Stegostoma tigrinum: one gene and its partners. The main gene of each other region encodes a partner of the protein of the gene in region 2 in a complex. Links are inferred from orthologs where the notes say so. Each region holds a gene or a part of one and is shown on either strand. Other genes may lie near its edges. The genes, in order: b9d2, transmembrane protein 237-like, b9d1 and cep290.

Region 1 (7,399 bases), on a different chromosome or scaffold from region 2:
AGAGGGATGTAGGAGAATCACAGAATCCCAACAGTGCAGAAAGAAGTCGTTCAGCCTGCATCGACTCTCCAAACAACATAGCACCCAGATGCAGCCCTTCTCCCATAACCCTGCATTAACAACAGCTAATCGCTGAGCCTACACATCCTGGGACACTATGGCCAATCCAGCTAATCTGCACGTTTGGACCGTGGGAGGAAATTGGAACACTGAGTAAAAACACACACAGACACGGAGTGGGCGGGTATGTAAACTCCAGACAGTCACCTGAAGGTGGGAACTGAACCCGCGTCCGTGGAACTATAAGGCAGCAGAACCAACCACCCCAAAAGACAGGGAGGAAGAATGGGGGAGGTGGAGAGGGGATGTTGGGATGTGAGACGAGGAGTGGGGGCGGTGAGGAATAAAAAGTGGAAGGGGGAACATTGGGGTGTGAGAGGAGGAGCGGGGACGGTGAAGGATAAAGGGTGGCGGGGGAATGTTGGGGTGTGAAAGGAGGAGCGGGGGTGGTGAACAATAAAAGGTGGAGGGGGAATGTTGGGGTGTGAGAGGAGGAGCGAGGGCAGTGAAGGATAAAGGGTGGAGCAGGAATGTTTGGGTGTGAGAGGAGCAGCGGGGGCGGTGAAGGATAAAGGGTGGAGCGGGATGTTTGGGTGTGAGAGGAGCAGCGGGGGCGGTGAAGGATAAAGGATGGAGCGGGAATGTTGGGGTGTGAGAGGAGCAGCGGGGGTGGTGAAGGATAAAAGGTGAAGAGTGAACGTTGTGGTGAGAGAGGAGGAGCGAGGGTGCTGAAGGATAAAGGGTGGAGCAGGAATGTTGGGGTGACAGAGGAGGAGCAGGGCGGTGAAGGATCAAGGCTGGAGTGGGAATGTTGGGGTGTGAGAGGAGGAGCGGGGGCGGTGAAGGATAAAGAGTTGAGCAGGAATGTTGGGTGTGAGAGGAGGTGTGGGGGCAGTGAAGGATAAAGAGTTGAGCAGGAATGTTGGGGTGCGAGAGGAGGAGTGGGGGTGGTGGATGGGGAATGTAGGGCTGTGAGAGGAGGAACGGGGATGGTGAAGGATAAAAGGTGGAGCGGGAATGTTGCGGTGTGAGAGAAGGAGTGGGGGCGGTGAAAGATAAAAGGTGGAAAGGGGATTGTTGGGGAGTGAGAGGAGGAGCGGGTCAGTGAAGGATAAAGGGTGCTGGAATGTTTGGAGTGAAAGGAGGAATGGGGCCGGTGAAAGATAAAGGGTGGAGCGGGAATGCTGGGGTGTGAGAGGAGGTGTGGGGGCGCTGAAGGATAAAAGGTGGAAAGGGGAATGTTGGGGAGTGAGAGGAGCAGCGGGGGCGGTGAAGGATAAAAGGTGAAGAGTGAACGTTGTGGTGAGAGAGGAGGAGCAGGGGTGCTGAAGGATAAAGGGTGGAGCAGGAATGTTGGGGTGTGAGAGGAGGAGTGGGGGTGCTGAAGGATACAGGGTGGAGCAGGAATGTTGGGGTGTGAGAGGAGGAGTGGGGGTGCTGAAGGATAAAGGGTGGAGCAGGAATGTTGGAGTGCGAGAGGAGGAGTCCGGGTGGTGAAGGATAAAGAGTTGAGCAGGAATGTTGGGGTGCGAGAGGAGGAGTGGGGGTGGTGGATGGGGAATGTAGGGCTGTGAGAGGAGGAGCGGGGATGGTGAAGGATAAAAGGTGGAGTGGGAATGTTGCTGTGTGAGAGAAGGAGCGGGGGTGGTGAAAGATAAAAGGTGGAAAGGGGAATGTTGGGGAGTAAGAGGAGGAGCGGGTCGGTGAAGGATAAAGGGTGCTGGAATGTTTGGAGTGAAAGGAGGAATGGGGCCGGTGAAAGATAAAGGGTGGAACGGGAATGCTGGGGTGTGAGAGTAGGTGTGGGGGCGCTGAAGGATAAAAGGTGGAAAGGGGAATGTTGGGGAGTGAGAGGAGGAGCGGGGACAGTGAAGGATAAAGGGTGGAGCGGGAATGTTTGGGTGTGAGAGGAGGTGTGGGGGCGCTGAAGGATAAAGAGTGGAGCGGGAATGTTGGGCTGTGAGAGGAGGAACGGGGACGGTGAAGGATATAAGGTGGAGTGGGAATGTTGGCGTGAGAGAGGAGGAGCGGGGGCAGTGGATGGGGAATGTTGGGGTGTGAGAGGAGGAGCAGGGGCGGTGGAGGGGGAATGTTGGGGTGTGAGAGGAGGAGCGGGGGCGGTGGAGGGGGAATGTTGGGGTGTGAGAGGAGGAGCAGGGGTGGTGAAGGATAAAGGCTGGAGCGGGAATGTTTGAGTGTGAGAGGAGGAGTGGGGGCAGTGAAGGATAAAGAGTTGAGCAGGAATGTCGGGATGCGAGAGGAGGAGTGGGGGTGGTGGATGGGGAATGTAGGGCTGTGAGAGGAGGAGCGGGGATGGTGAAGGATAAAAGGTGGAGCGGGAATGTTGGGGTGTGAGAGAAGGAGCGCGGGCGCTGAAGGATAAAGAGTGGAGCGGGAATGTTGGGGTGTGAGAGGAGGAGCAGAGGCAGTGAAGCACAGAGGATGAAGGGGGATTGTTGGGGTGTGAGAGGAGGAGCGGGGGCCGTGAAGGATAAAGGGTGGAGTGGGAATGTTAGGGTGACAGAGGAGGAGCGGAGGCGGTGAAGGTTAAAAGGCGGAGGGGGTATGTTGGGGTGTGAGAGGAGGAGCAGGGGCGCTGAAGGATAAAGGCTGGAGCGGGAATGTTGGGGTGTGAGAGGAGGAGTGGGGGTGGTGAAGGATAAAGGGTGGAGCGGGAATGTTGGGGTGTGAGAGGAGGAGCGGGGGCGGTGAAGGATAAAGGCTGGAGCGGGAATGTTTGAGTGTGAGAGGAGGAGTGGGGGCGGTGAAGGATAAAGAGTGGAGGGGGAATGTTTGAGTGTGAGAGGAGGAGTGGGGGCGGTGAAGGATAAAGAGTGGAGGGGGAATGTTGGGGTCTGAGAGGAGAGGGGGTGGTGAAGGATTAAAGGTGGAGGAGGAATGTTGGGGTGTGACAGGAGGAGCGGGGGCAGTGAAGGACAAAAGGTGGAACGGGAATGTTGGGCTGTGAGAGGATGAGTGGGGGCGGTGGAGGGGGAATGTTGGGGTTTTTGAGGAGGAGAGGGGGCATGTTGGGGGTGAGAGGAGTGGGGGCGGTGGAGGGTGAGTGTTGGGAGTGAGAGGAGGTGTGGCGGCGGTGGATGGGAAGTGTTGGGGGGTGTGAGGAGGTTTGGGGGCGGTGGAGGGGGAATGTTGGGGGGTGAGAGGAGAGGGGGCGGTGGAGGCGGAGTGTTGGGGGGTGAGAGTAGGAGAGGGGGTGGTCGTGGGGGAATGAGAGGAGGTGTGCGGGCAGTGGATGGGGAGTATTGGGGTTTGAGAGGAGGTGTGGGGCAGTGGAGCGGAAATGCTGGGGGGTTAGAGGAGGAGTGGGGGTGGTGGAGGGGGAGTATTGGGGTTTGAGAGGAAGTGTGGGGCAGTGGAATGGGACTGTTGGGAGGTGAGAGGAGGTGTGGGGGCGGTGGAGGGGAAATGCCGGAGGGTGAGCGGGGGCGGTGGAGGGGTTATGTTGGGGAGTGAGAGGAGGTGTGGGGGCGGTGGATGGGGAGTGTTGGGATGAGAGAGGACAGGGGTGATTGAGGGGGAGTGTTGGGGGTGAGAGGATAGGTCAGTGCAGGGGGGATGTTGGGGGGTGATAGGAGGAGAGGGGGCGTTGGAGGGGAAATGTTTGGGGGTGAGAGGAGAGGGGACGGTGGAGGGGGAGTGTTGGGGGTGAGAGGATAGGTCGGTGGAGGGGGAGTGTTGGGGGGTGAGAGGGGGCATTGGAGGGGGAATGTTGGGGGTGAGAGGAGGGGTCGGTGGAGGGGGAGTATTGGGGGGTGAGGAGAGGGGGTGGTGGAGGGGGAATGTTGGGGGGTGGCGAGAGGTGTGGGGGCGGTGGAGGGGGAATGTTGGGGGGTGAGAGGAGGTTTGGGGGCGGTGGAGGGGGTACGTTGGGAGGTGTGGGGGCGGTGGAGGGTGAATGTTGGGGGGTGAGAGGAGGTTTGGGGGCGGTGGAGGGGGTACGTTGGGAGGTGTGGGGGCGGTGGAGGGTGAATGTTGGGGGGTGAGAGGAGGTTTGGGGGCGGTGGAGGGGGTACGTTGGGAGGTGTGGGGGCGGTGGAGGGTGAATGTTGGGGGGTGAGAGGAGGTTTGGGGGCGGTGGAGGGGGTACGTTGGGGGGTGAGAGGAGGTTTGGGGGCGGTGGAGGGGGTACGTTGGGGGGTGAGAGGAGGTTTGGGGGCGGTGGAGGGGGTACGTTGGGGGGTGAGAGGAGGTTTGGGGGCGGTGGAGGGGGAATGTTGAAAAGCTCTGGAATGGGGGTGGGTTTTCAGCCGATGCTTGACCTCGCCCCGCCCCATACATATCCAATTGGCTGAATGCCGTTGCGTTCCAGCCAATAGGCGAGCACAATACTTGGTTGCCAAGAGCTGAGGCATCGATGGCGGTAGCGGAGAAATAGTTAGCGAATAAGAAGACTGGGAGAGGAGGAGAGAGCGAAAGAGAGAGATAGATCGAGACTACGGGCAAGAGATAAAGAATTAAGGAAGACGAAGGGAACGGGGACATTTCACGGATGTCACGCGAAACGCAGTGCCCCTCTTCTTGATGCTGATTGGTTGATCCGTCGAGTGGCTACGTTCCGATTGGTGGGTCAGCATGTCAATCATGGTTAGGACCGGGCCTACATCTGGCAGGAGTCTGTTTAAAATAACCAGAATAACTAAATTAACAAGAACAGCTAATATAAAACATCCAGCAAGATCACTGGATTCAAATGTTAACTGTTTCTCTGCCCACCGATTCTTCGAGACCTGCTGAGTTTCTTTTCTTCACTCACTACTCTCCATCAGAAAACGATATGGGCAACAGTTTGGGGTTAATCGCAGAGTAAATCGGCCTTTACTTATTAAACTGAAGCCTCAACACTGTGTCAATCAAACATTCCCAGGTCAGGGACAGCATTGAAACAATGGATTGTATTGATTACAAAAGTAGAATTTGCTTGTCAAGCTCAGCAGATCTGGCTGCATCTGTGGAGAGAAGCCAGAGTTAACGTTTCGAGTTGAGTGGCCCATCCTAAGAACTGATTGCATTGATTATTTCATGTAGTTCTTGGGGCTGTAAGGATCAAAGGGTATGAGGAGAAAGCAGGAACACGGGACTGAGATGGATCATCGGCCAGGATCATATTGAATGATGGAGCAAGTTTGAAAGGCCATATGGCCTACTCCTCTCTTGTTATGTTTTTGTTGACCTTATTTGTGCTGAAGCACTTGTAAACAAAAATCAGTTTGCTGTATGGCATTGCCTCTACTCCCGGCATTTCAAGGAATCAAAAGAAACATAAGGAAAATTTTTTTTTCATGCTGAGTGTCGGGAATGCACTACGGTTTCGTGGAGGCAAACTCACTTAAGGCTTTGGAATTGGATAATTATTTGAAAAGCTTTGTATGCCTATGTGAGAATGGGACATGCTAAGTTGCTGTTGGAAAGAGATGGCACTGACACAAATGACCTCCTATGTCAACCATATTCAAAATACTTTATAAAGCATATTTGTAGTTTGAGGAACTGAGAGTTCCTGAGCTTTGCCTGCTCTGAAAACCTTGGAGTAGGAATGAAAGAATTGAAAGGAATGAAGGAATTTGAGTTAACCCTCAACAATACCTTTTAGAGTTTGCAATTTTAAAAATCATTTTTGACAATTTTTATCTGTGGGTATGTTTCCCTGGTTCGTTGGGTGCTTGACCTGAAATCTGTTTAGCCAGAAGAATGGAAGTAATGTTTGATACCAGGGAGTGTGATTGCTCTCTGTTTGGCTGAGGGTGCAGTTTGTACATAGCCTAATATTCTTTTTTTGCAGGAAGATGGCTGAGCTGCATATTATCGGACAGATTGTTGGAGCAAGTGGTTTCCCGCATAACAGCCTGTTCTGTAAATGGGGGCTGCAGACAGGTGAGACTCTTGCTGATGTGTGTGTTGGGAGAGGAATGGAGGATGTTGAGAAACATGAGTATCATGTGCCACATTTAATTTCTTCTACGTTTATCTGCCAAGGCCAGAATTAGTTTCCCATCCCCAATTGCCCTTGACTGAGGGGCTTGCTCGGACCATTTTGCAAGGCTGTTAAGAGTTAAATATGTTGTTGTCGGTCTGGAAACACATGTAGGCCAGATGGGTAAGGATAACAGATTTTCTTCCCCAAAAAATGATAGTTTCATAATCACCATCATGGGTTATTTAGATTTACTGTCCAAATTTATTAATGGAATTTAAATTCCACCAGCTGCTGTGATGGGATCGAAACCACGTCCCCAAAGTGTGTATGGGGATACTTTGGATCGCAAGTTACAACATTACTGTTGTTAGCACCTCCCTGCTAAACTGCATTTCCTGGTAGTACAGCAGGGGTGCTGGCATCTGCTCTGCTTGATTCCTGTTAGAGACGTGGACTTAAAATGGTTTATAGTTCAGACCAAGTAAGGATTCTGTTCAATAAGGGACATTATAGAGAATCACTGGGCTTGTATGACCATGCATAATAGTAGTCATGGTCACTGTTTTTGACACTAGCTTTATATTTCCAGATTTATTAGCTCTAGTCTGTTTAAATTTTCCACAAGCAGATTTTTTTTTTAAATTTCCAATCAACACATCTCAGAAACATATTTTATCTTCATTAAATTGTCTTTCATAGCCTTGTGATGTCCATGTGTAAATTAGAAAAATGTCTTTGAGAAAATAATGTTCTGTATTAGGTTATAGGAGTACTTTTGAGAGATGTGGTAAGCTTGAGATTGTTGACTTGCTCACCAAGCCAACTTGAGCTGACTTCTTTTTGTTCAGACGTTTTGTCACCATGCTAGGTGACATCATCAGTGGAGTCACCGATGAAGCGATGTTATTCTACTCCACTTGGAATTTAAACTGTCTGGTCCGTTGCTCATCGTGACAAAAAGTATGAACAAAAACAAGTCAGCTCAGTGAGCAAGTCAACAACCTCATCCACAACCCAAGCTACAGATATTTGCCAAAACTTTAAATATGGTGAGAGATAGTAAGAACTGCCATTGCTGGAGTCTGAGATAACACAGTGTGGAGCTGGAGGAACCCAGCAGGCCAGGCAGCATCAGGGGAGCAGGAGAACTGACGTTTTGGATTGGAATCCTTCTTCAGATTTGAAGAAGGATCCCAACCCAAAATGTCAGCTGTCCTGCTGTTCTGATGCTGCCTGGCCTGCTGTGTTCCTCCAGCTCCACACTGTGTTATCTTTAAATATGGTAAGCTTGCTTGAGTGGAACCATCTCAGTTTTTCCTTGTCATGTCAGGTGCTTGCTAAACTAATTCATCATGATCAACTGGAAAGATTAGTCTACAATTCTGTTACTGTTGTATCATTTGG
Region 2 (7,772 bases):
TCTCTCTCCATTTTTTTATCTCTCTCTTCTCTCCATTTTTTTTTCTCTCTCTCTCCATTTTTTTTCTCTCTCTCTCTCCATTTTTTTTCTCTCTCCATTTTTTTTTTCTCTCTCCATTTTTTTATCTCTCTCTCTCTCCATTTTTTACTCTCTCCATTTTTTTCTCTCTCCATTTTTTTCTCTCTCTCTCTCTCCATTTTTTTTATCTCTCTCCATTTTTTCTCTCTCTCTCCATTTTTTTTCTCTCTCTCTCTCCATTTTTTTTTCTCTCTCTCTCTCCATTTTTTTTTCTCTCTCTCTCCATTTTTTTTTCTCTCTCTCCATTCTTTTTTTCTCTCTCTCCATTATTTTTTTTCTCTCTCCATTTATTTTTTCTCTCTCTTCATGTTTTCTCTCTCTCTCCATTTGTTTTTAATCTCTCCATTTTTCTCTCTCTCTCCATTTTTTTTCTCTCTCTCTCCATTTTTTTCTCTCTCTCTCCATTTTTTCTCTCTCTCTCCATTTTTTTTCTCTCTCTCTCCATTTTTTTTTTCTCTCTCTCCATTTTTCTCTCTCTCTCCATTTTTTTTCTCTTCTCTCTCCATTTTTTTCTCTCTCTCTCCATTTTTTTTTCCTCTCCATTTTTTTCTCCTCCATTTTTTTTCTCCTCCATTTTTTTCTTTTTCTCCATTTTTTTCTCTCCTCCATTTTTTTCTTTTTCTCCTCCATTGTTTTTCTCTCCTCCATTTTTTCTCTCCTCCATTTTTTTTCTCTCCATATTTTTTTCTCTCCATTTTTTTTTCCTCTCCATTTTTTTTCCTCTCCATTTTGTTCCTCTCCATTTTTTCCTCTCCATTTTTTTTCCTCTCCATTTTATTCCACTCCATATTTTCTCTCTCCATTTTTCTCTCTCCATTTTTTTTCTCTCTCCATTTTTTTCTCTCTCCATCTTTTTTCCATTTTTGTCTCTCTCCATTTTTTCTCTCTCTCTCTCCATTATTTTTCTCTCTCTCTCTCCATTGTTTTTTCCATGTTTTTTCCTCTCTCTCTCCATTTTTTTCTCTCTCCATTATTTTCCCATTTTTTTCTCTCTCCATTTTTTTCTCTCTCTCTCCATTTTTGTTCATTTTGTTTTCTCTCTCTCTCCATTTTTTCTCCATTTTTTTCCATTTTTTTATAGTTTTTCTCAGGTTTATTGGGGTCTCCAGGGGGTAGTGGCTTCCATTGTTTTTTATTTTTTCTTCCCATAAACCCCCCCACACTACCTTCCACAGAACCTTCCCATCCTCACACCCATCCCACACGAGCCGGCACCACATGGCCATGGGGGCGGACTGTGGTGCCTACTGGCCTCAGTACCCCGGGGTCTGACCCCCACTCTAGTTTGCTGATGGCTTCTTGCTAAAGGGGAAGGGGGTGCTGTTGCATCAAACGTGAGAAATACTAAGTAAGTATTAAGGGGAGAGTGCAGAAGTGATATATAAGAATAGTTCCAGGAACGAGGAACTTTACTTTGAGGATAGTTCGAAGAAGTTGGGGACTGTTCCCCTCGGAAAGAAGAGGCCTGAGAGGAGATTCGATGGAAAGTTTCAAAATCATGAGCGGTCAGGATGGAGTAGATAAGGAGAAGCCTGTAAAAGGAACGTGAACGAGAGATTTAAGTGTTGAGAGGAAAAAAATACTTGTTTTCGCAGCGAGTAGTTAGGGTATGGAATGTACCACCTAGAAGTCTGTCAGAGGCAGGTTCACGAGACATTCAAGATGACATTGGATGATTATTTAATAGTAATAGTTTGCAAGTGTATCGTGAAAAATCATGAGACTGGCACAAGGGAGTGATGTTATTCGAAGAGTTCGAGGGCAAATTGGTCTCTTTCTGCATCATAACAATTCTGTGAATAATCAAGCTCTGAGACTATGACGCTTGACCGCTGTTGTGAACGTCCACATGTTTTAAAAAGAAAACAGGGAGAAGATAGTGGGGGCAGGATTATGCACGTTTAATAATTTGTTTCAGAAAGATTCATGTCAGAACTTTGATAAATCAGAAGTTAGAGTTTATTTTTGACGTTAAATACAACAATGAACCAAAATAGAAGTTGCTGGAAAAGCTCAGCAGGTGTGGCAGCATCTGTGAAGAAAAATATTGGAGTTAACGTTTTGGGTCTGTTGACTTTAACTCTGATTTTTTTTCTTTTCAGATGCTGCTAGACCTGCTGAGCTTTTCCAGCAACTTCTGTTTTGGTTCCTGATTTACAGCATCTGCAGTTCTTTCGGTTTTTATTTTGTATCGATGAACTGGATAGCTTAACATGAATGGTAGGAAAGATATACAACCCACATGTAACAAGGAGTGCAAATTACAGTCAGATTGCCACTCAGTTCCTACTTTCTTCCATTAGGACTGAGCTCCACATTTCTTGCTGGCAATTCCGATCTCAAATCTTTCAGGATTACGGAGCTTGGTCAGAATGGCAGTGTTGGGGAGAATGCATTTAATCGAGTCAGGCTGTGGTTGTCAGGAGTCCAGGGTGATGTAGTTTGGGAAGTCAATGAGGAGTCATCTTAATATTCATCCAGGTGTTGGATTAGGTTTTTAATCTTTTAACATTTCCTGGATAATTATCAGCTTAAGTGAGATTGTTCTGAGGAAGGGTCACTCAACCCGAAATGTTAACTCTGATTTCCGTCCACAGATACTGCTAGACCTGCTGAGCTTTTCCAGCAATTTCTGTTTTTGTTTCTGATTTACAGCATGTACAGTTCTCTTGGTTTTTATTGAAATTTCGATTAGTGGACTCTTTGAGGTTTTCTAGTACAGGGGAATTGCGTATTGAAAAATTCCATTTCCTGGACAGTTTCCACTGATTCAGCTGCTTGGGTATTCTGCATGATCATGACATGCAACTCCTGTCCAAGCTGCATCAATGATTATCTGGCCATTGGATTATTTGAGCCAATGAATTCTCAACTGAAAGTGAGAATAGAAAAATGTCTAGGAAACAACATCTTTTGGAGTGATGAGAATTTGAATTTATGGATTTCGTGAGCAAATTTAATGCTTTTATCACAATCTTGCTCTGCCTTGAGTCAGCCAGAATAATGTTTGAATTCTTGCATTGTCTCCACATGCCTCCTGAAGGATCTGTTTCATCTTCACTCTCTTGGCACTGGCCACTTTGCCATTCTGTGTCTCCATCTGCCATGAATCACCTGTTGAGCCCTGACTGGCTCTCCTAGACATTCCAATGCAGTCATTACCTTACATTGACAGGGGAATCCTGGCTAATTACCCTGCTGCCTCCCCAAGCCATTGAGTTCATCACAAGGCGAGGTTTCGGAGCTCAAATGTAAGCAGCTGCTGTCCTGACTGAGAGATGACTAATGTCATCACCTGGGGTTTGAACAAGAAATGTTTTGGTCTATATTGGCAAATGACATCTTGTCATCCCAATTGAGTTACCAGGAAAAAAGCCTAACATTTTCAACAGGTCAGATGATGATGGTAGCTCTAGTATATTGTGGAAGAGACTGGAATCAGTTAAGAATTGGTTTTATTAATCAGCTCAGTTTAGTGTCATGAAGACCTTGGTGGGATTCTATTTGCCTGGCAGGAGAATGGTTAGAAAGCAATCTCCAATCCCTTCACTTTCTTCAAGCATTATTGTTCCACTGACAGTGAAGGGCCATCCCTACAGTGCCAGCTTTAAGAGGGAGAATATTCATCATGTTGTGTTTTACATTTGGTGACAAGATTTCCAAATCCTGCCCCCGTCACAGCTGTCATATGGATAGTCTACGAGCTAATCCACTTTGTGAAGGATTTAATGTTGGATTAGTTTGAAGTAAGGTCACTGTTGACCCATTTACTGAGATTCGCAGATCACAGACACCATGAAGAAGCAAGCGGTGAGAAGCTAGAGTTTAAGTTTGATCTGGAAAGGGAAAATCATTTTCATATTTGTGACACGGTAAATCCCACTTGATGGTACAAGAAACACTAACCTTTATTCACGTGCTGACAGGGTTTGTGTGGATTTCATTTTTTTGTTCTGTTTTTATTTTGAGTGCTGGCGTGAGAGATGTTTATAGCAGAACTTAGAGAGTTCATTGTGAATAACACACTCTTACCCTTGCATTATTCTCAATGAACTGTTGCCAGCACATTGTTTTCTGAAGAAGGGCCCAGACCCGAAACGTCAGCTTTCCTGCTCCTCTGATGCTGCTTGGCCTGCTGTAATCATCCAGTTCTACACCTTGTTATCTCAAGATTCTACAGCATCGGCAGTCCCTTCTATCTCTCTCAGCCCAATTTATCAGCAGTTTTCTTTTATCAAATCAATTTTGAAGAAAGTGAAAGTTTGTATTTATACAGTTCCTTTCTTTTATTGAGACGGCCTCAAAATTTTCATAAACAACCTACTATCTTTTTCAAGTATGGGGTAATATTCACTAAAATTCCACAAACAAAAAATGCAATATACGATCAGAAAAACTGTTTATGGACCTGTTGTTTCAATAATAAATTTTGGCTGTAACAAGAAAGGGCTCCTTTATTCAAACAGGATCATTTATGCCCTTCTGAGGGCAAATAGAGCTGCAGTTTCATGTTACATCTGGAAAAGCACGTCTTTGATAATATCAGCCTGGATTGTGGCCTCGGGGTGTCATAATGATTGTGTCAGGAACTGTGACAGAATGCCCCCGACAGCCTTCAGATGGTTGATTTGAGTCAGGAATTGACAGTGGCATGCATACTGTGTAATGGTGTCATCCTTGATATTGACGATGACTTTCTGTGGTTTTATTTCAGCGCCCACCACGTGCACTTCCACCAGTGCCAAGGTAAGACTGCTAAGAATGGAGCTACAGTTGTGTGTCACTGCCCTCTGCAACTGGAGAGTAACAAAAATGTGATACTGTGATGGTAAATATTTTGGTAAATTTTAGATCTGTGGTGGGTGGCTAATTTTAGTGGAGGTTGGGCAGTGGAACAGAATACAGGATCACTGAGTAGCATGTCAATGGCTGGTCCTGGGCTGTTGGAGTGCGTTGGTAGGATTGGCTTGGCGGTCAGGCTGCTGGGTTGTGAGACTGAGACTGTGTTTAGTATTAGGGCTGTTAAGTACTGATGCTGAGTTGAAATGGCTGAACTATTGGGTAGTGTTGCTACATGATAGGTATTGGTTAGGTAGATAGTGAGGTGGGTTAGGAATGCACTGTGTATTGCATAGGTTGGAAGCTAGCTGAAGTTAGTTAGCTGAAGAGTGGGCTGAGTCTTAGTTTGCTGTGAGCTATGTGTTAGGTGGGTAGCAGGCTGGGTGGTGACTAGCTGGGCAGTGGGCCAGGTGTTGGGTGAATGGATAATGAGCAGGGTGTTGGCGAGCCGGGAAGCAGGTTATAATTGTGGGCTAGCTGGACAAGTGGGCTGGCTGTTGGGTCATGGGTTGGGAGTTCAGTTCTGTGATATGAAATACAACAATGTATTTTTTCTACATTTGTGATTTGGTATCTTTTCCCTTTGCTCAAAGATAGTTGAATACATTAATTCTTTCCTGTGACTGAACTTGAATATTCTTTATACTAGTGGTGGAATTTGATGAGAGGAAACCATTATTATAATCCTGGAACTTACATCCACGAGTATAGTTTGGCAGCATCTAAACACCATGGACAGTAGTGTTTCAATAAGACAGCCAACCATACTTTCTCAAGGGCAGTTAGGTTTGGCCAATATTCAGCCCGCAAAACCTGGATCTGTTAAATGAATTTAAAAATATGACTGTGGAGTTACGTAGAAGATCACAACCTCAGTTTCTGGTAGTTGCAGGATCACCTGGAGCATTGCCATTATGTGCAACAGGAGGGTGTTGTTATAAATATTTTTGCCTAGTGTTGGTGGCAGCAGGGAAATCAAGCATGATTCATGATTCCTGTTTCTAACTGTCCATCTGTTAATCCCAGCTGGATGCTATGTAAGGTTGACTGTATGATAGTTGACTGTGCCACCAGCTTGTATTACCACTTCGATGAGACAAGATTGGCCAGTCTGTAACCATGATTCCTTGTACCACAACAAGAATCAGAGGCTTCAGGATTGAAGAAGAGAAAGATGCAAGGAATTTAAAATTTCAGTATGTGGTAACTCATGGAAGACTTGTGGTCCAGTGGGCAACATATCTGCCTTTGGGCCAGGAGCTCCAGGCTCAAATCAGACTCCAGGACTCAATGGCCAAAGAAGGTAATTTTATAATTTGGCCAAATCGGTTGCGTATCAATCCATATATGCTTCTGACAGACAGCACAAAGGTTGTATGGTATTGCTCGAAAGCTGTGTGATGGAAAGAAATAGAGACTCTGTAGTCATTGTCTGTAACTCCAGACTACATCATATACATAAAAATACATGTTCTCACGCCAGTGTGCACTCCTTGGAAAGGACAGATCGGCGTGCTTGATGCCAACAGCATGGGGTTTAATCCTTGTTTTGACTGAGGCAGATTTGCAACCTGCCTCCTTATCCTGCCTGTGTTGCAGGTCCTGCTGCATGTGCGTTGAATTTCTCTCCAGGCAGAGAATTCAAGAAGCCAGAAATCCAAACTGTAATCACTGGGAAATATTTTGCTGTTGTTGATGACAAATTATAACTCCAGCATAATGACTCAGCCTCCTTTTGGAGATAAATGGAAGTTATGTCTGACCATCCTATTAGTTGCAGAAGAAAGAAAAGGCTACGGGTTCCGTTAGCAGGTAGCTCAAATGCAAGGAAAATAATGTTGTTGCTCTGAGAATTGCTGTCTTGGATCTATTTGGAGATGTGTAGTACTTGCTGTAGTAAGAGGTTATTGTCTTTCAAAGGGAGAAGCAAAAGGTGATGTTTTGAGATGCTCTGGTTCAAGTTTTCAAGATTGTGAAGATAATTGAAAAAGTTGATAGAGTGCAGTTGTTTACATCTGTTAAGATTCAAATCCCAGGGGAATGGTTAGAAAATGATGAACTTAGGAGTAAGAAGGAAAATCAAAAGTCCCTGTTTGCTCAGTACCTAATCCAGTTGTGGTATATGACACATAGGGAGAAACATTGAACTGGAGGGGCCAAGGAGAATTTAGATGAGCACCTGGAAGGACACGGGATGGAATGATATGGTGATATTCTGAATAAGTTATATTGATGAATATAGACAAGACCTGTGAGTTGAGGTGTTCTCTGATAAAGGAGGACATTTGTTGGTTTTTCGTTTAGTTAATGTTTTACACTGTGTCTGTATGCTTACCTTGTTTATTTTCTTTCTCTTGGCTGATGGACCTGAAGCACCAAAGTCAAAGGTAAGCCTTTAATTTTAACCAGTCCTCCCACAGATGTCTGTGATGACTTGTTATTTTATTGACAGTTCTTGTTAAGTGAATTGGTTATTTAATAACTGGTGGACAAAGGAACTGCTGCACCTGTTTTCTGTCCAGCTATTGCTGCAGATGGTTGCAGATAATTTGTGCACCAGCTAAGAACAGAACTGCATGCAATAATCATGGTTGTTGAACACCAGATATTGAACGCTGTTTAGACAGGGACCAGATTGAGAGGCATCATTATCCTGCAAAACGATCTTTTAATCTGAATTTAGTAAGCTTCCTTCAGAGTTTTTACTTTAGTTAGTGTGCCTTCAGGGTTGTTGACACTAATTTTGTTTAATTTGTTTATTTTAAATAGTAGATGAGTCCAGCATATGCTTTTCTCGTCAGATTTTTATTCTGATTTGCCACTGACAACTTCACCACCATTGATTACATGTTCCT
Region 3 (7,410 bases), on a different chromosome or scaffold from region 2:
AAAAAATGCATCTGGTTCACTGATACTGTTTAGGGAAGGAAACTACCATCCCTACCTGGTCTGGCTTGCATGTGACTCCAGACCCACAGCAATGTGTCAGAGATAGTAGGAACTGTAAATGCTGGAGATTCCAAGATATACCAGGTGTAGAGCTGGATGAACACAGCAGGCCAAGCAGCATCAGAGGAGCAGGAACGCTGACGTTTCAGGCCTAGGCCCTTCTTCAGAAATTTCTGAAGAAGGGTCTAGGCATGAAGCATCAGCCTTTCTGCTCCTCTGATGCTGCTTGGCCTGCTGTGTTCATCCAGCTCTATACTTTGTATACCCCACAGCAATGTGGTTGAATTGTAACTGCCGTCTGAGCAATTAAGGATGGGCAATAAATGCTGACTAGCCAATGATGTCCTCATCCCGTGAATGAATAAAGAAAAAAACACTCTGACAAGAGTCAGCCTTGCAAATGGTGATGTAGCCAAGACTTGGCTTTCAGGAAAGTGAAGAAATAGCTGTCATCCTTTATGTTGTTGGCACACTAGGATCCCAAATGAGATCTGGTATTGACATGTGATGCCTCCCTGTATATGGCATCAGGGTAGAATTAGTTCGTGCGTGAAATGATGGAGAGGAATGCCCAATAGCGTATGCATGCAGGAACTCGGTTAATGCAGACTGTAAGTATGCCCAGATAGGGAAAGAAGGTTTGGTGGTCATGTGTGGAGTCAGGAAGTTCTATTAATACCTTTACGAACATAAATTTGTAATAATAACAGACTACAAACTCCCACTAGGTTTACATATAGAGTACAAGACAGTGCTGCCCATAGCTTCAGACTCAATTTAGTGGTGGACTTTAAAAATGAGTCTGTATGATTACAACTTGGAATACTGTCTGGGATGTCATGTAACAAGTGCGGATGCATTGAGCCGCCTCCTGCTGGCAGATACACCACCAGTGGTGCCATCACTGGAACAATCTGTAATGGTTTTAAATATTTTGGACACGCTTCCAGTCACAGCTGACAATATCAGACTTGGGACACAAAACAAATCTGGTCCTGACAAAACTGAAACAGCTAGTACTGATGGGGGAAGCCAAAGGTCCATTACAACCAGTATTGAAATCTTTTTGGACTTGGAGAGACCAGATCACAGGAGATGACACATATTATTATGAGGAGCAAGAATGATTGTCCTGAGCAAAGGTTGCCATCAGATACTGGCTGAACTCCACTAGTGTCATTCAGGGGTTTCCAAAATGAAAATGTGGGTGAGGAGTTATATCTGGTGGCCAGGATTTAAGGCAAATATAGCTGCATTGGTTGGGTAGTACCTAGAGTGCCACAAGGACAAAAACTACCACCAACACCTCTCAAACATTCATGGTAATGGCTGGGTAAGCCCTGGACTTGATTTCTGTTGACTATGCAAGTCTTTCCATGGGCTCAATGTTCTCAGTCATTTTGGATGCCCACTCAAATGTGCATAGAGTTAGTTAATTAAACATGGGGATGATGATAAAAAAAACTGCGCACATCTTTTGCAATACATGGACTGCCAGAAGCATTGGCCACAGAAAACTGACCATTGTTTACCAGCAGGTATTGAGTATGTCCTCAAGTTGACTAGCATTCAACATATAAGGACAGCTTCATACCATCCATGATCCAATGGTCTAGCAAAAAGAGCACTCCAAACTTTGAAGGCAAGCTTAAAGAAACAGCCTACACCTTTATTAGATATCAAATAATAATAGTCCCCAGTAGTAGCTATTCAGTTTCCTAGGTTGATTGTTTTACACTCCTTTGTCTGCCCAGTTGTTCTTCTCTCTGTCTAGGCTCTATCTGGGTATATGAATAGTAAGGGTTTAGAGAGATGTGGGCCAAATGCTGACAAATGGTACTAGGTCAGGTTCAGATGCCTGGTCAGTGCAGATTGGTTGGGCAGAAGGGTCTGTTTCAGTGTTGTGCGAGTCTATGACTCTATAACTAATGGAAAAAAAAGTGTGTTACTGTCCACTGCCCTCCCCATCCATAGGATGTCCCAAAATGCTATAACCACTCCAGTGCATTCACTGTTGCAATAAGGAAAATGTAGCACTCAGTTTGTACCCAATTAACTCCCAAAATGTGACCAATGTCATAATGACCAGCAAATCTGCTATAGTGATATTGATTAAGTCAGTCAATGATTCAACCTTAAGGCCCATCTCAGCATTAGTTTTGGAATTATAATGCTACCCTTAAACACACAGCATCCAGTCATCAAATTACAATTTATCCAATACATTCATACACATGCTTCCCTTAGTCACATTCAATATTTTGGCTGTTTAGTTCAAATTTTAATGGCTGGGTTGAATGTTTCTTTTGTTGTACAAGATAGTGGTTTTGAAAGATTTATTGATGAGGTTCATCCCAATCTGACGATATCACACAGTCTGAATAGAGAATAGGCAATTTACGAGGTCCCTATTTAGACTGCTGTGCCACCTGCAGCTCCTGAAAGCCTTTGTAATTATGCTTACCAAATCAAGATAAATTACACTAATGGTATCATGCAATTAACTATATCTTATTGTTCAGACAAGATGGGCAAAACAAGGATGACGGGATTCAGAATCTTGGCGAACACAGTTCTTAAGATACACGATTGCTTCAAAATTAAATAACAGATCTCAAGCTGAACGAACAAGTACACTATTCTATTCAGAAGGCCCAACAGCTGATGATGTTAAAAATAATCAAATCTAATTTAAGGGACAGATACCGTTGAGAAGTTCTAATGCCTTTAATACCTATAATTACTTTAATCTGAGAACAAATTCCAATGTTTGACAAAAAGGTTCAGCATGCAGGAGAATCCGTTAACAATTTTATTATGATCTCTATAGATTAGTGGAAAACTGGCTGCGGAGCATTGAAATCTGAATTCATAAGAAACAGAATTGTTGTTGGAATTATTGATGAGTCTTTGTCAGATTTATTATAATCGAAAGAAGATTTGACTGTGAATAAAGCTATTCAAATTGTGTTGGAAGCAGAAATCAGGAAGGGTTTATTGATATAATATAAGAGAACAGGAAAACCTTGCCATCGGAGACCAACAAAGTCTAATTTAAGAAGTATGAACACTCTACAGACAGACGTGACAAATAAACACAAAATGTACACTAACAGCAAATACTGTGAGTCACTATCTGTATGGTGGAACAAAAAACCTCATGAGCGTGTCTAGCTAAAATGAAAGAATGCTACATTTGTAAAACTGTTAATTGCTTCCAGAAAATGTGCAGAAGTAGGATACAGTTGGAAAGCAGCAAAAAGCCAATGCTTACTCGCACAAACAGCTTCATATTTTAGAACCTCCTTTTTCAAAATGATACTCTTGTTTGACAATGTACCTGATTGATTAGAAGAGATGCATTCCTATGTGAAATTGGTGATTCAACTGACCCACATTGGCATGCTGCATGTTCATGGATATCCATCAATTTTAAAGTTTATAAAGGTGTGACTGTCACTCATATTATTGCTGAAGAAACAGCAGGTACAGATACTGAGATGAAACTACATGATGCAAGTGAAATAACTGTAAAGCATGAAGGTATTCTAGAAGTAACACTGCATAAAGAAGCATATGATAATTGAAAATATTTATGTTATTCACAAGCCTCACTTTTAAGTCATTACAGTATCTTAATCTGAACATCCTTGCAGTAACTGAAGGACTTCAACTAATTCCAAAAGAACAACTGTAGAAAAACAACCTTGTTGAAGAACTCTAAATTCATGATGGAATTCAAAAGGACAAAGAATCCATTGAGATCACAGATGTTGACATAGGAGGTTTTTTCATACTGTCAACAGGAAGGAAGCCACTGTCTTTACATGGGTTGTGGGGATTTTAAAAATTTCTATAATGACTGAAGAGCTATTGGATGACCAACCTTAGAAACATTTGTCAGAAGAAACAAATACTGAAAACAAGAATTTGTGGTACAATCTAGTTGAGCTTATTCATTAACCTTTAATGGATGCGCATAAAGCAAAACAACACACTGGACAAATTTACAAGACAACTTTGCCTTTATTGCTCGATGACGATGAAAACAGAAACTCAAGAGCAGCATTTCAATCCTGTACACTGCAAGGAACCAAGTACTTGTTTCAACAGAGCAGCTGTCTTCGTTAGCACAACGGTCTAAAAAGGTGATAGTTCATTTTTCACATTTAAGAATTTAGCAAATATGATAGGGTTAGGGTTTTAAGAATGATTGACCTTAATTTTTTTGACTGCTCCAGATTTGCAGCATGCACGTTCGGAAAAATGAGTTAGAGGTTCCGGCATTGGGGCTGGAATTCAGCTGCTGCCAATCACATGCCGCGCAGGCGCAAAGACAGTGACGGGCGTCGTCCTGGAGATGGTGAGGCTGGGAGTCGGTGGGATAAACACGTAAGATTGAGAAACATGCTGTCCGGAAAACCGTCTGTGTTCCTTTTAATGGTCAACGGGCAGATCGAAAGCGCTGATGTAAGCATTGCTTTTATTCAATGTAAGAGGGATGTTATGCCCTGAGTGTTTCGCCTGTATGATCCAGTTTCTATCCTGAAACTCAGTCTGGATGTGAATGTGTCCCGGGCCTGCTGGCGGCAATCCCCTCGGCAACCAACCCATAGTAAGTGCGCTTTAGAATCCTTGTGGCGAGTTGCAAAGAGTATCCTTTATTAGTTACCAATTTCAAAGAATATCCGTTCGTTACTTTGTAAACCAGCTATTATAGTACATGCAATGCAGAGCTCAAGTTCTGAACGCCTCCCTTAGACTAAGGGAGAAACATTTAGTGTGGGTATCTGGTGTATCTGCCAAGGGATCATTTTTGGTAGTCGGAATAACATCTTAACTGCCGCATTTCCTGATCAACACATTCGCAAACAGATGGTCCGCACTTCGCCATCACCCTCTCTTGCAGACTTGGTTCCAGTTAAACCATCGAAGAAACGAAAAATAATGCAAATGCTGGAGTTTTTCTCTTCCCCCGAGGCTACCAGACGTGCTGAGTATATTCAGAATTTTCTGTTTTTATCCCACTTAATCAACATCTCCTTGTTTTCAAATCCCTCCATATTGGGTTTTTCTCCTATTTAAATAATTTCTTCCAGCTCGTCTTATAGGAACTCTGCTTTCATTCTGGGGTCTTGAGCTTGTCTTATTTTAATAACATCATCACTGTGGTCACGTATTCCACTGTGTAAGTCCTTAACCCTGAAAGATTTCCTCACTGCCCCCGCTCCCCCTCCCCATTCTGCAGTTCCTTCTTTTAAACTTGCCTGTTGAGTAAACTTTTGTTCACCTGCCTTAATACCTCCTTATAAAAAATGAACATTCACTGAATTTGAATTAAAACATTTTGGGAGAGCTTTCCAGTTTATTCAAAGAATGCATTACCAATTATAGATTAGAGAAGAGGGTGATAACATTCGGAGTTTTTAATATGGTCTCACTCCAATGACTGTGCTGCTGTCAAAACAGACTCTAGGAAGAACAGTTATAATGTTGATATGAAGGTGAACCCTAGAAAAGATTAGTACTGTAACAAAATGGCCTTGAAGTCAACTCTTTTGAGTCAAAGTTTAAGTTCAGACCTATATTTGCCATTTTTTTTTTAGCTAATAAGTGCATGTTTAGTACTTTGTTTTGCATTAGGAGCAAGGCTCAGTTTTCAGCTCAGAAATACAAATTAAGGTTCTACCAGCCGAAACATCAAAGTATAGGACCAAGCAGGCAAAATGGAGTGTGTTACCATGAATGTGCATGGGAGTTTAAGACACTCTAACACAGACCTCATGTGGCAACAGACCAACAGAAATGTGCCTTCCTGCACTAACCCATATGCTTAATTTATATGTTTAAGTTGACCCCTGTTGTAAGGATGTTTTGATCCCTCAAACATTGACTGACTGCACTGAAATTGTAGTAGCCAGATTGCAACAAAACTGTTTATTCTCCAAATAATATTCAGCCCTTCAGATATAAACTGTTGTTTCAACCCAGGAGAAAGTTATTTCTAATTATTGTCTCATTATATGACAGTGAATAAGTCGCAATGCCAGACTTCTAACAAAATTTGTATTTCTATCTGTATGTTGCAGTTTTGTAACTTTCTCCTGGTTGAAAATTTTGATTCTGTTAAAGCCTTCATGAGATAAAGACTCAAATTCCTGCATGCTGTTAACTGATGTTATAAAAATACTAATTTGATTGCAGATATTTTGTGGGTCTCTGATTTCAAAACATACTAATCTCACCAATATTGAATGTGAAACTTTAAAACCAAGCATATCAGCATTTGAAAAGTTTTGCAATTTTTATTCATTTTAATTCAAATTATTTTTTCCCCAGTTTCCAGAGTTTGATGAGCTGTATTGCAAATACTCCTATGTGTATGGACATGACTGGGCTCCAACAACAGTAAGTGTTGATGTTAGTTCGTTCAGCTCATTGTGGGATAAACATTTAATCCTATAATAATTAATAAATGACTACAAGCTTAGTTACAATGACAGTCTGAATTCTGTGCTTTTCCAATGTAATATAATTTGAATTCTTGGATATCCTTGGATATTGAGTCATTCCAGAATTACAGCTGCCTTGTAGCACTATTCTTATGTTATAGGAGCTAATTAAAATCATAAATTTAAATGAAATGTCACCTCAGTGGTGATGCACTCTTAATGATGTCATTATAAACTACTGAACTCCTTAATGATTGTGCTATTTTTGTTAATCCAAATATTTATTGTAAGAATACTTCTAAATGAAATAAATTGCTTGAGGTTTTTTTGTTGCTAGATAAATAACCCCAGAAACTACACCCCTAGCCTATCTAATTTAAATAAATTGTTAATAAGATTGTGAAGTAGTGTGCTTTTTGTTGATTTTCAACAGTTTCTATACACTGTGTTGTGTACAAAATGTTCTTTTGTAGAAAATAAATTTTAGAAATGTTGTTTTGAAATAATTGAATGGTTTAGGACACTTTCCTGACATTTACAATAACTAAGTCTGTTATGTCTTTTAGCTAATGAGATAGCTTTTTGCATTGTAGACAAATTATCATTCAGAAAGATCATAAATTGACACTCTACAGGTGTAACTAGACTCTCAGTAAAGTGTAGGGGTTAATACATGAAATTTTCATGCCACATCTTTTGGTCTGTAAGAAACAAATAGAACTACAGATTTATGTGGTACACCAAAATTTCCTGAGAATTTTATTACCATGAGAATGACACTGACTGAAAGAAACTTAATTTTACAGGTGAAGATTGGAATTGGAATAAAAACCTCTCTTTGCATATCATCTACATTGTATTTTAATATTTAGTACACATTTTTCTTCTCGAAGTCTTT
Region 4 (7,641 bases), on a different chromosome or scaffold from region 2:
CAGACCCTTCATCAGAAAAAAGTGTTATGTTCATCCACTCGCAATCTGTTTTACTTGCACCTCCTCCCTTTTTCTGCAGTATTAGAGACACAGTTTTCCAGTTCCTCAGTTCCATAGAAACAGTGTACTTGAAGCATAAAGTCTGTTCCTATCTACACAAATGCTACCGGATCAGTTGGGTTTCTCCACCACCGACTGTTTTGGCTTCTGATTTCCAGCATCTGCAACAATTAGCCTTTATCATCTGTCTCTCCCACTCACTTGGAGAGCCATTCACTCTGGAGACTCCCAGGTTGAGTCGTACCATCAGGACATCAAAGAAAATATACAACAAAGGGTTAAGGGGCACAAGGTAAAGAGTAAAGGGGAGTTAAGGGATAAAAAAGGAGTAAAGAGCAATGGGGGGGGTAAGGGGGGCTTTGAAATGAGTTGGTCGCCCAGCGGCTCCCCTCTCCCAATCTGTCCTTCCATTTGACAGGACCCGATACTAACCTGACCCCCACCCAAACGAACCCCCTCCCTTACCACTGCGGTGCTCCTCCCTGCTTCAAGACTCCACCCGCCGTTCTGCTAATTGCCAGCTCCTTTTAGCGACATCTCCTAGCAGCCACCCCTTTCCCTCCGACCCACCAACCAACCAACCAGACAGCATCCGCTTCCGGTCCGTTCTTAAACGGCCCTCCCCTCTCACTTCCGGTCCGTTCCCCTCCCCACACCCGGGGGCACAGCGGCTGCGGCCAGTGGGTCCGGGCTGCTGGTTGTTCCCCGCGTACCTTCTCTGGAGAAGGGTTTAGGCCCGAAACGTCAGCCTTCCTGCTCCTCTAATGCTGCTCGGCTCATCCAGCTCTACACCTTGTTATCCCATGCTCTCATGTGTTTGCACATTACCTCGACAAACAATCTTTACAGGAACAGCAAGTAGAAAAATAAAAAAAAACCGTTGATCTGAAATAGACTCCTGCTAATGGGAAATAAAAATGGAAAAATGCTTATATTTAGCATTTGGTATGCAACCTTGCAGAGTGGATCTTGCAACTGCTCCTGGGATTGCAGGCTTAGTTCAGGTTTATTTTACAGCTTTACAGTTATTATAGTCATCATATTTGGATGGATAGATGAATGTGAAAGGTTTGAAAGGATATGGGCATGGAGTAGGTAGGTAGGGGCTAGTTTAGTTTGGAATTATGTTTGTCATGGACTGGTTGGACTGAAGGGTCTGCTTCCGTGTTATGTGACTCTGACTATAATTACAAGGGAAAGCAAGACAATTGTTCAGATGTTTCTCCTCTGAAATAGAAACAAACTGCATATATCATGAGCTTTGGTTTGATTTGATTCATTATTGTCACATGCACATAGGTACAGTGAAAAATTTTGTTTTGTATGCTGTACAGGCAGATCATACCATAGTAAGTGCATGAGTGTAATAGAACAGAGCGAGGAATACAATTTGAAATTTCTGTTCATTCATGGCATGAGGGTATTGCTGGCAAGCCATGTGTTGCCCATCCCTAACTGCTCTTGACAAGGTGCAGTGAGCTACTTTCTTGAAATGCTCCAGTCCATGTGATGAAGGCAAACTCACATTGCTGTGAGGAGGTGTTGCATTTTGGTAAGGCATTCCAGGGCAGGACTTACATAGTTAATGTAGAGTACTAAGGAATGTTGCCATAGAGACGTGGAGTGGAATTGCAGGTAGACAGAGTGGTAAAAAAGGCGTTTGGCATGCTTGCTATCCCTGGTCAGAGTAGTGAGTATAGGAGTTGGGATGTCACGCTGCAGCGGTAAAGAACGTTGGTGAGACCATTTTTCGAGTACTGAGTACAATTCTGGTCACTCTTCTATCGGAAGGATGTTGTTAAACTTGAGAGGGTGCAGAAAAGATTCACAATAATGTTGCCAGGACTGGACGGTTTGAATTATTGGGAGAGACTCAAGATGCTGGGGCTTTTATCGCTGCAGCATTGGAGGCTGAGGCTGACCATTAGAGGTTTCTAAACTCATGAGGGGCACGGATACGGTGAATAGCCAAGGTCTTTTCCCTAGGGTGCGGGAGTCCAAAACTAGGGGGCATAGGTTTAAAGTGAGAGGGAAAAGATTTAAAAAAGATTAGAGGGGGAACTTTTTCATGTCAAGGGTGGTGCACATAAGAAATGAGCTGCTGGAGGAAGAAACATGTTAAAGGCATCTGGATGGGTATATAAATAGGAAGAGTTTATGGGAATTTGGGCCAAAAACTGGCAAGTGGGACTATGTCAAATTGGGAAGTACAGTCAGCACAGAAAAGTTGGACTGAAGGTTCTGATTCCATGTTGTATGACTCGATAAGTGAATTCCAGGATTTAGACCCGGTGATAAGGAAAGTTCAGGGATAGTCTTGATGTGTGTGACTTAGAAGGGCACTTGCAGGTGGTGGTTTTTTGATATAAATCTAGGCTGCACTCATCCTCCAACAGTAGCTGCTTCGATTGGTTGTATCCAGGTAATTCCACATGTTTAGATCGAGGAACATCTCCCAATTTAACTGCTACAAGATGATCTGCAATTGGAATATTCCAGTACTGACTGAATTACACTATCGAACATCTTCAAGTTTTAATCTCTAAAAATTGATTCTTGACATAAACATGACTTTCAAAGATATAGCAGGCATAGTATTAATTGGCTGAGTATTTTTAATAAAAATATCATTTTCATACTTTACTATTTATGCTGTTAGCTTAGACAATAGACAATAGGTGCTGGAGTAGGCCATTCGGCCCCTCGAGCTAGCACCACCATTCATTATGAACATGGCTGATCATCCACATCAGTATCCTGTTCCTGCCTTATCCCCATAACCCTTGATTCCACTATCTTTAAGAGCTCTATCTATCTCTTTCTTGAAAGTATCCAGAGAGTTGGCCTCCACTGCCTTCTGGGGCAGACCATTCCATATATCCACCACTCTCTGGGTGAAGAAGTTTTTCCTCAACTCTGTTCTAAATGGCCTACCCCTTATTTTTAAACTGTGTCCTCTGGTTCTGGACTCACCCATCAGTGGAACATGTTCCTGCCTCCAGAATGTCCAATCCCTTAATAATCTTATACGCCTCAATCAGATCCCCTCTCATCCTTCTAAACCAGTGTATACAAGCCCAGTCGCTCCAACCTTTCAACATATAATAGTCCCGCCATTCCGGGAATCGACCTTGTGAACGTACGCTGCACTCCCTCAATAGCAAGAATGTCCTTCCTCAAATTTGGAGACCAAAACTGCACACAATACTCCAGGTGCAGTCTCACCAGGGCCCTGTACAGCTGCAGAAGGACTTCTTTGCTCCTATACTCAATTCCTCTTGTTATGAAGGCCAGCATGCTATTAGCTTTCTTCACTGTCTGCTGTACCTGCATGCTTGCTTTCATTGACTGATGTACAAGAACACCTAGATCTCATTGTGCTTCCCCTTTACCTAACTTGACTCCATTGAGCTAGTAATCTGCCTTCCTGTTCTTGCCACCAAAGTGTATAACCGCACATTTATCCACATTAAACTGCATCTGCCATGCATCCGTCCACTCACCTAGCCTGTCCAAGTCACCCTGTATTCTCATAACATCCTCCTCACATTTCACACTGCCACCCAACTTTGTGTCATCAGCAAATTTGCTAATATCACTTTTAATGCCTTCGTCTATATCATTTATATATCGTAAACAGCTGCGGTCCCAGCACCGAACCTTGTGGTACCCCACTGGTCACTGCCTGCCATTCTGAATGGGACCCATTTGTCACTACTCTTTGCTTTCTGTCAGCCAGCCAATTTTCAATAGCTTCTGAGACTGAGGGCTATATTCAATTAGTAGAGGTACTGAAGGTGCTGAATATGGCAATAAACAGAAGAAAAGTTAGCAGTGTTTGGTCCAATTAGCCAGCATGTTTCAACAACAATTTTGTTTTGGTTATTTTGATGGACAGTCATCAGACTTTTGACACTGACTGATATTCAGACAAATAGCAGTGTTGAGCTAAAGATGATAGTAGGGCAGGAAACTAAAACTAGACAGAGAGGTGGATTTCAATGTTTGCCCTTAAGGATTACAGGTTACTGGTGAGTATTTGACAGGGAATTCCAGAGCTTTGGTGAAACCTAAATACTGTAGTTCCTGGAAATCTGAAATAAAATTGAATATGTGAAGAAAGTATTCATGCTTTGAAACCAAAGCTTCAGAACTTGAGCCTGTACTGTTACAAGTACCAAGCCACCAAGGCTGAGTCAATAATAATCGGGAACTTGCAATAAACCAAAAATGCAGAGATGGTGGAGGAGAAAGCAAGAATTGCAGATGCTGGAGTCAGAGACAACAAAGTTTGGAGGTGGAGGAACGCAGCAGGTCAGGCAGCATCAGAGCAGCAGGAAAGTTGACATTTCTTCCAAGTGTCCTGACCCGAAACTTCAACTTTCCTGCTCCTCCTGCTGCCTGGCCTGCTGTGTTCCTCCAGCTCCACACTGAGATCGTGGAGGGCTGTAGACAAACAACTCAAACGTTGCTGTGTTCTCCCTCTAACATCCTACCACCATTTAGTCGCTTATAGCATACACGACTGTATTCCATTAGTCACTGCCAGTGCCACCTGGAGAAGGGTCTTTCTGAACCAGGTGAGGGCAACCCGGAGGCAGAAATATCGCGAGAGTGGCTACCTCATGTCGTAAAGTGCCTTAACATCTGCCGTAGAGGCATGATGGTCGCCTAGCAGCAGCTTCCAACGGTCCCGCTGTCTCGGGCGCCCGGCAGAGAGGTAATGGAATCTCTAACTCTTTCTGTCTTGTTATTAATAAAATACCCTGAAAGCGGTTCAAGCTGGGCCGTGAGGCGCTGCCTGTAAGGACGGGACACTGACGTTAGCGAGTGGATATTACAATGCGCCCGGGGGACATGAGTGAATATATATCACACTCCCCGCCCCCGCCCCCCGGGGACGTGAGTGAATATATATCACACTCCCCGCCCCCGCCCCCCGGGGACGTGAGTGAATATATATCACACTGTCCCCCTCCCTCCCGGGGGACATGAGTGAATATATATCACACTCCCCGCCCCCGCCCCCCGGGGACGTGAGTGAATATATATCACACTGTCCCCCTCCCTCCCAGGGGACATGAGTGAATATATATATTACACTTCCCCCCCAGGGGACATGAGTGAATATATATATTACACTTCCCCCCCCCAGGGGACATGAGTGAATATATAATCACACTGCCACCTCCCCCACCCCGGGACGTGAGTGAATATATATCGCACTGTCCCCTCCCTCCCAGGGGACATGAGTGAATATATTATCACACTGCCCCTCAGGTCCCAGGGACATGAGTGAATATATATCATACTGTCCAACACCCCCACCTTGGGTGACATGAATGAATATATATCACACTGCCCCCTCCCCAGGGACATGAGTGAATATATAATCACACTGCCCATCTCCCCCTCCCCCTACCCCCAGAGGACACGAGTGAATATATAATCTCACTGCCTTCCCCCCCCCCGCCCAGTGATGTGTGCCAGTGTATGTTGTTACTGCCCCCCACCCCTACTGATGTGAGTGAGTGTATGTTCCAGTGCAACCGTCCTTTAGTGACATGTGCCAGTGTATATTGCCCTGCCCCCCCCACACCCCCGTGACATGAGCAAGTGTATATTAACACTCCCTGGCGTTCCATTCCTTCCCCCACTCCTGGGTGACATGAGTCAGCGTATATGATACTGGCCCCCTCCCCCAGTGACATGAGGAAGTGGATATTACATTGCCCTTCTCTCCTCCCACCCCTGTAATGTGAGCAAATGTATATTTCGCTCTGCCACCTCCCAAGGTGACGAGAGCAAGTGTACATTTTGCTGCCACTTCAGGGTGATATACTACACTGACCCTGCCCCCTGCCCCATGACATGAGCAAGTGTATATTTACACTCCTCGGCATTCCCTTTCTTCCCCCCCCCCGGTGAAATGAGTGAGTGCATATTACACTGGCCCCGTCCCCTAGTGACGTGAGCGAATATATATTACACTGCCTTCCCCTGGGTGACGTAACCGAGTGTGTATCACACTGCCCTACCCCAACCCAGGCTGATGTGAGCAAATGTATGTCACAATGCTTCCACCCCTTCCCCCAGGTGATGTGAGTGAATGTCTGTAACGCTGCCCCCGGGTGATGTGTGCAAGTGGACATTACACTGCTACTGATCCCAGCAAGTATCAGTTATACTGCCCTCTGGGTGACATGAGCACACGGATGTGTCACACTTTGCACACACCCAACCCCACCATCAGGGAAAGAAAATGTATGTTGGCAGCTCGGTTTGAGTTACATGGTTTTTTTTAATCACTTCTGTGTATTAAAATGTAGGGCAAGAGGCAAAGCATATCGACCACAGCAAAATGACTTATTTTCCCCATGACAATATTACAAATTTAATAAATATGCCCAAAATTTTTTTTAAAAGCTTCGGTGTTGATTTTACCACACTTATGTGGAAACCACATTCTCCGCAGATGGCTCAAATTTTCATGCAACACCAAGACCTGCAACATATAGCTGACAAAAATCAAACTGCCTTGTAGCCTCCAGAGCCAATCCATATTATTATAAGGAACAGTTTTTTCTGTGGCAGTATACTCCTTTACTGGCCTTTTGCCTTTCAGCATACATTACGACCTCACCAAGTCTCCTTGGCTTCTTCTAAATCTCACACCAACAGCCATGTAGAGGGACAAGGACAGCAGATACATAGGTGATGTGGTCTACCTACACTAAATGGACTGCAGTGGATCAAGAAGGCACCTCCTTCAAGGCATCTTTGAATGGGCAATAAATGCTGGCCCAGCCAACGTTGCCCTCGTCCCCTGAATGAATTTTGAAAAGCAGAGATAAGCCTAACCTCACCCAAAACGCTCTTGCCTGTGACCTAACTCTCACTGAGTCCCATTTATGTGTCACTCCTTGCTCGCTGACTTGTATTGGTCCCAATCGTGCCATACCTCTATTTTGAAATTTCCCATGTTCAGATCTCTCCATGGTCTTGGCCTTCACATCTCTATGACCTTCTCTTGTCCAACAAATCCCTGGATACTCTGCACTCCTCCAGATAGAACATTTTCATAAACATTGGAGACTGTGCCTTCAGCTACTTGGGCCTTAAGGTCTGGAATTTCCTCCCTGAAACTCTCCATCTCTCTCTTTTACTTCCAGACACTTGTTGAGACTGTTCTATTTGTGATCATCCATCCTAATAACTCTTTATGGCATTACATTTTGTCTAACAATGTTCCTCTGAAGCACGTTGTTGTGTGAATTTGATGAGTAAACTCAAGTTCTGATGAACATTCACAGGACTTGAAAGATTAACTCTGTTTTCACTCCACAGATGGTACCAGACCTGCTGAGTTTCTCTGGAAATTTGTGTTTTTGTTTCAGATCTTTGGCATCCACAATTTTTTATTTTATTTTGGTGAGATAAGCTGACTTGTTCCTCAGAAATTCATATCCTGAATTTTCTGTCCTGTGAATACCTTTCATATTTTCTGATAAATAGCTATTTAGTTTTCATGATTTGGGCCTCTTCAGTAATAATTTGTCCCATTTGCTGTTCAGTAGAATA

Evidence for each region.
Region 1: transmembrane protein 237-like (region 2) and b9d2 share a complex: the UniProt entries of both Homo sapiens proteins name them as parts of the tectonic-like complex. The link is inferred for Stegostoma tigrinum from reciprocal best matches to the Homo sapiens genes TMEM237 and B9D2.
Region 3: transmembrane protein 237-like (region 2) and b9d1 share a complex: the UniProt entries of both Homo sapiens proteins name them as parts of the tectonic-like complex. The link is inferred for Stegostoma tigrinum from reciprocal best matches to the Homo sapiens genes TMEM237 and B9D1.
Region 4: transmembrane protein 237-like (region 2) and cep290 share a complex: the UniProt entries of both Homo sapiens proteins name them as parts of the tectonic-like complex. The link is inferred for Stegostoma tigrinum from reciprocal best matches to the Homo sapiens genes TMEM237 and CEP290.

Annotation. Positions count from the first base shown.
Region 1 is NC_081392.1:8,436,667-8,444,065, forward strand, and holds the start of b9d2 (B9 domain-containing protein 2), read left to right. Parts: upstream 1-4,396; 5' UTR 4,397-4,643; intron 4,644-5,860; exon of another isoform or gene 5,861-5,864; coding exon 5,865-5,952; intron 5,953-7,399. UniProt on the Homo sapiens protein: Component of the tectonic-like complex, a complex localized at the transition zone of primary cilia and acting as a barrier that prevents diffusion of transmembrane proteins between the cilia and plasma membranes.
Region 2 is NC_081360.1:20,407,664-20,415,435, reverse strand, and holds the start of transmembrane protein 237-like, read left to right. Parts: upstream 1-4,767; coding exon 4,768-4,824; intron 4,825-6,134; coding exon 6,135-6,220; intron 6,221-7,290; coding exon 7,291-7,304; intron 7,305-7,772. UniProt on the Homo sapiens protein: Component of the transition zone in primary cilia. Required for ciliogenesis.
Region 3 is NC_081376.1:40,138,504-40,145,913, reverse strand, and holds the start of b9d1 (B9 domain-containing protein 1), read left to right. Parts: upstream 1-4,395; 5' UTR 4,396-4,467; coding exon 4,468-4,530; intron 4,531-4,540; exon of another isoform or gene 4,541-4,627; coding exon of another isoform or gene 4,628-4,675; intron 4,676-6,399; coding exon 6,400-6,468; intron 6,469-7,410. UniProt on the Homo sapiens protein: Component of the tectonic-like complex, a complex localized at the transition zone of primary cilia and acting as a barrier that prevents diffusion of transmembrane proteins between the cilia and plasma membranes.
Region 4 is NC_081371.1:48,912,505-48,920,145, reverse strand, and holds the start of cep290 (centrosomal protein of 290 kDa), read left to right. Parts: upstream 1-4,627; 5' UTR 4,628-4,780; intron 4,781-7,641. UniProt on the Homo sapiens protein: Involved in early and late steps in cilia formation. Its association with CCP110 is required for inhibition of primary cilia formation by CCP110.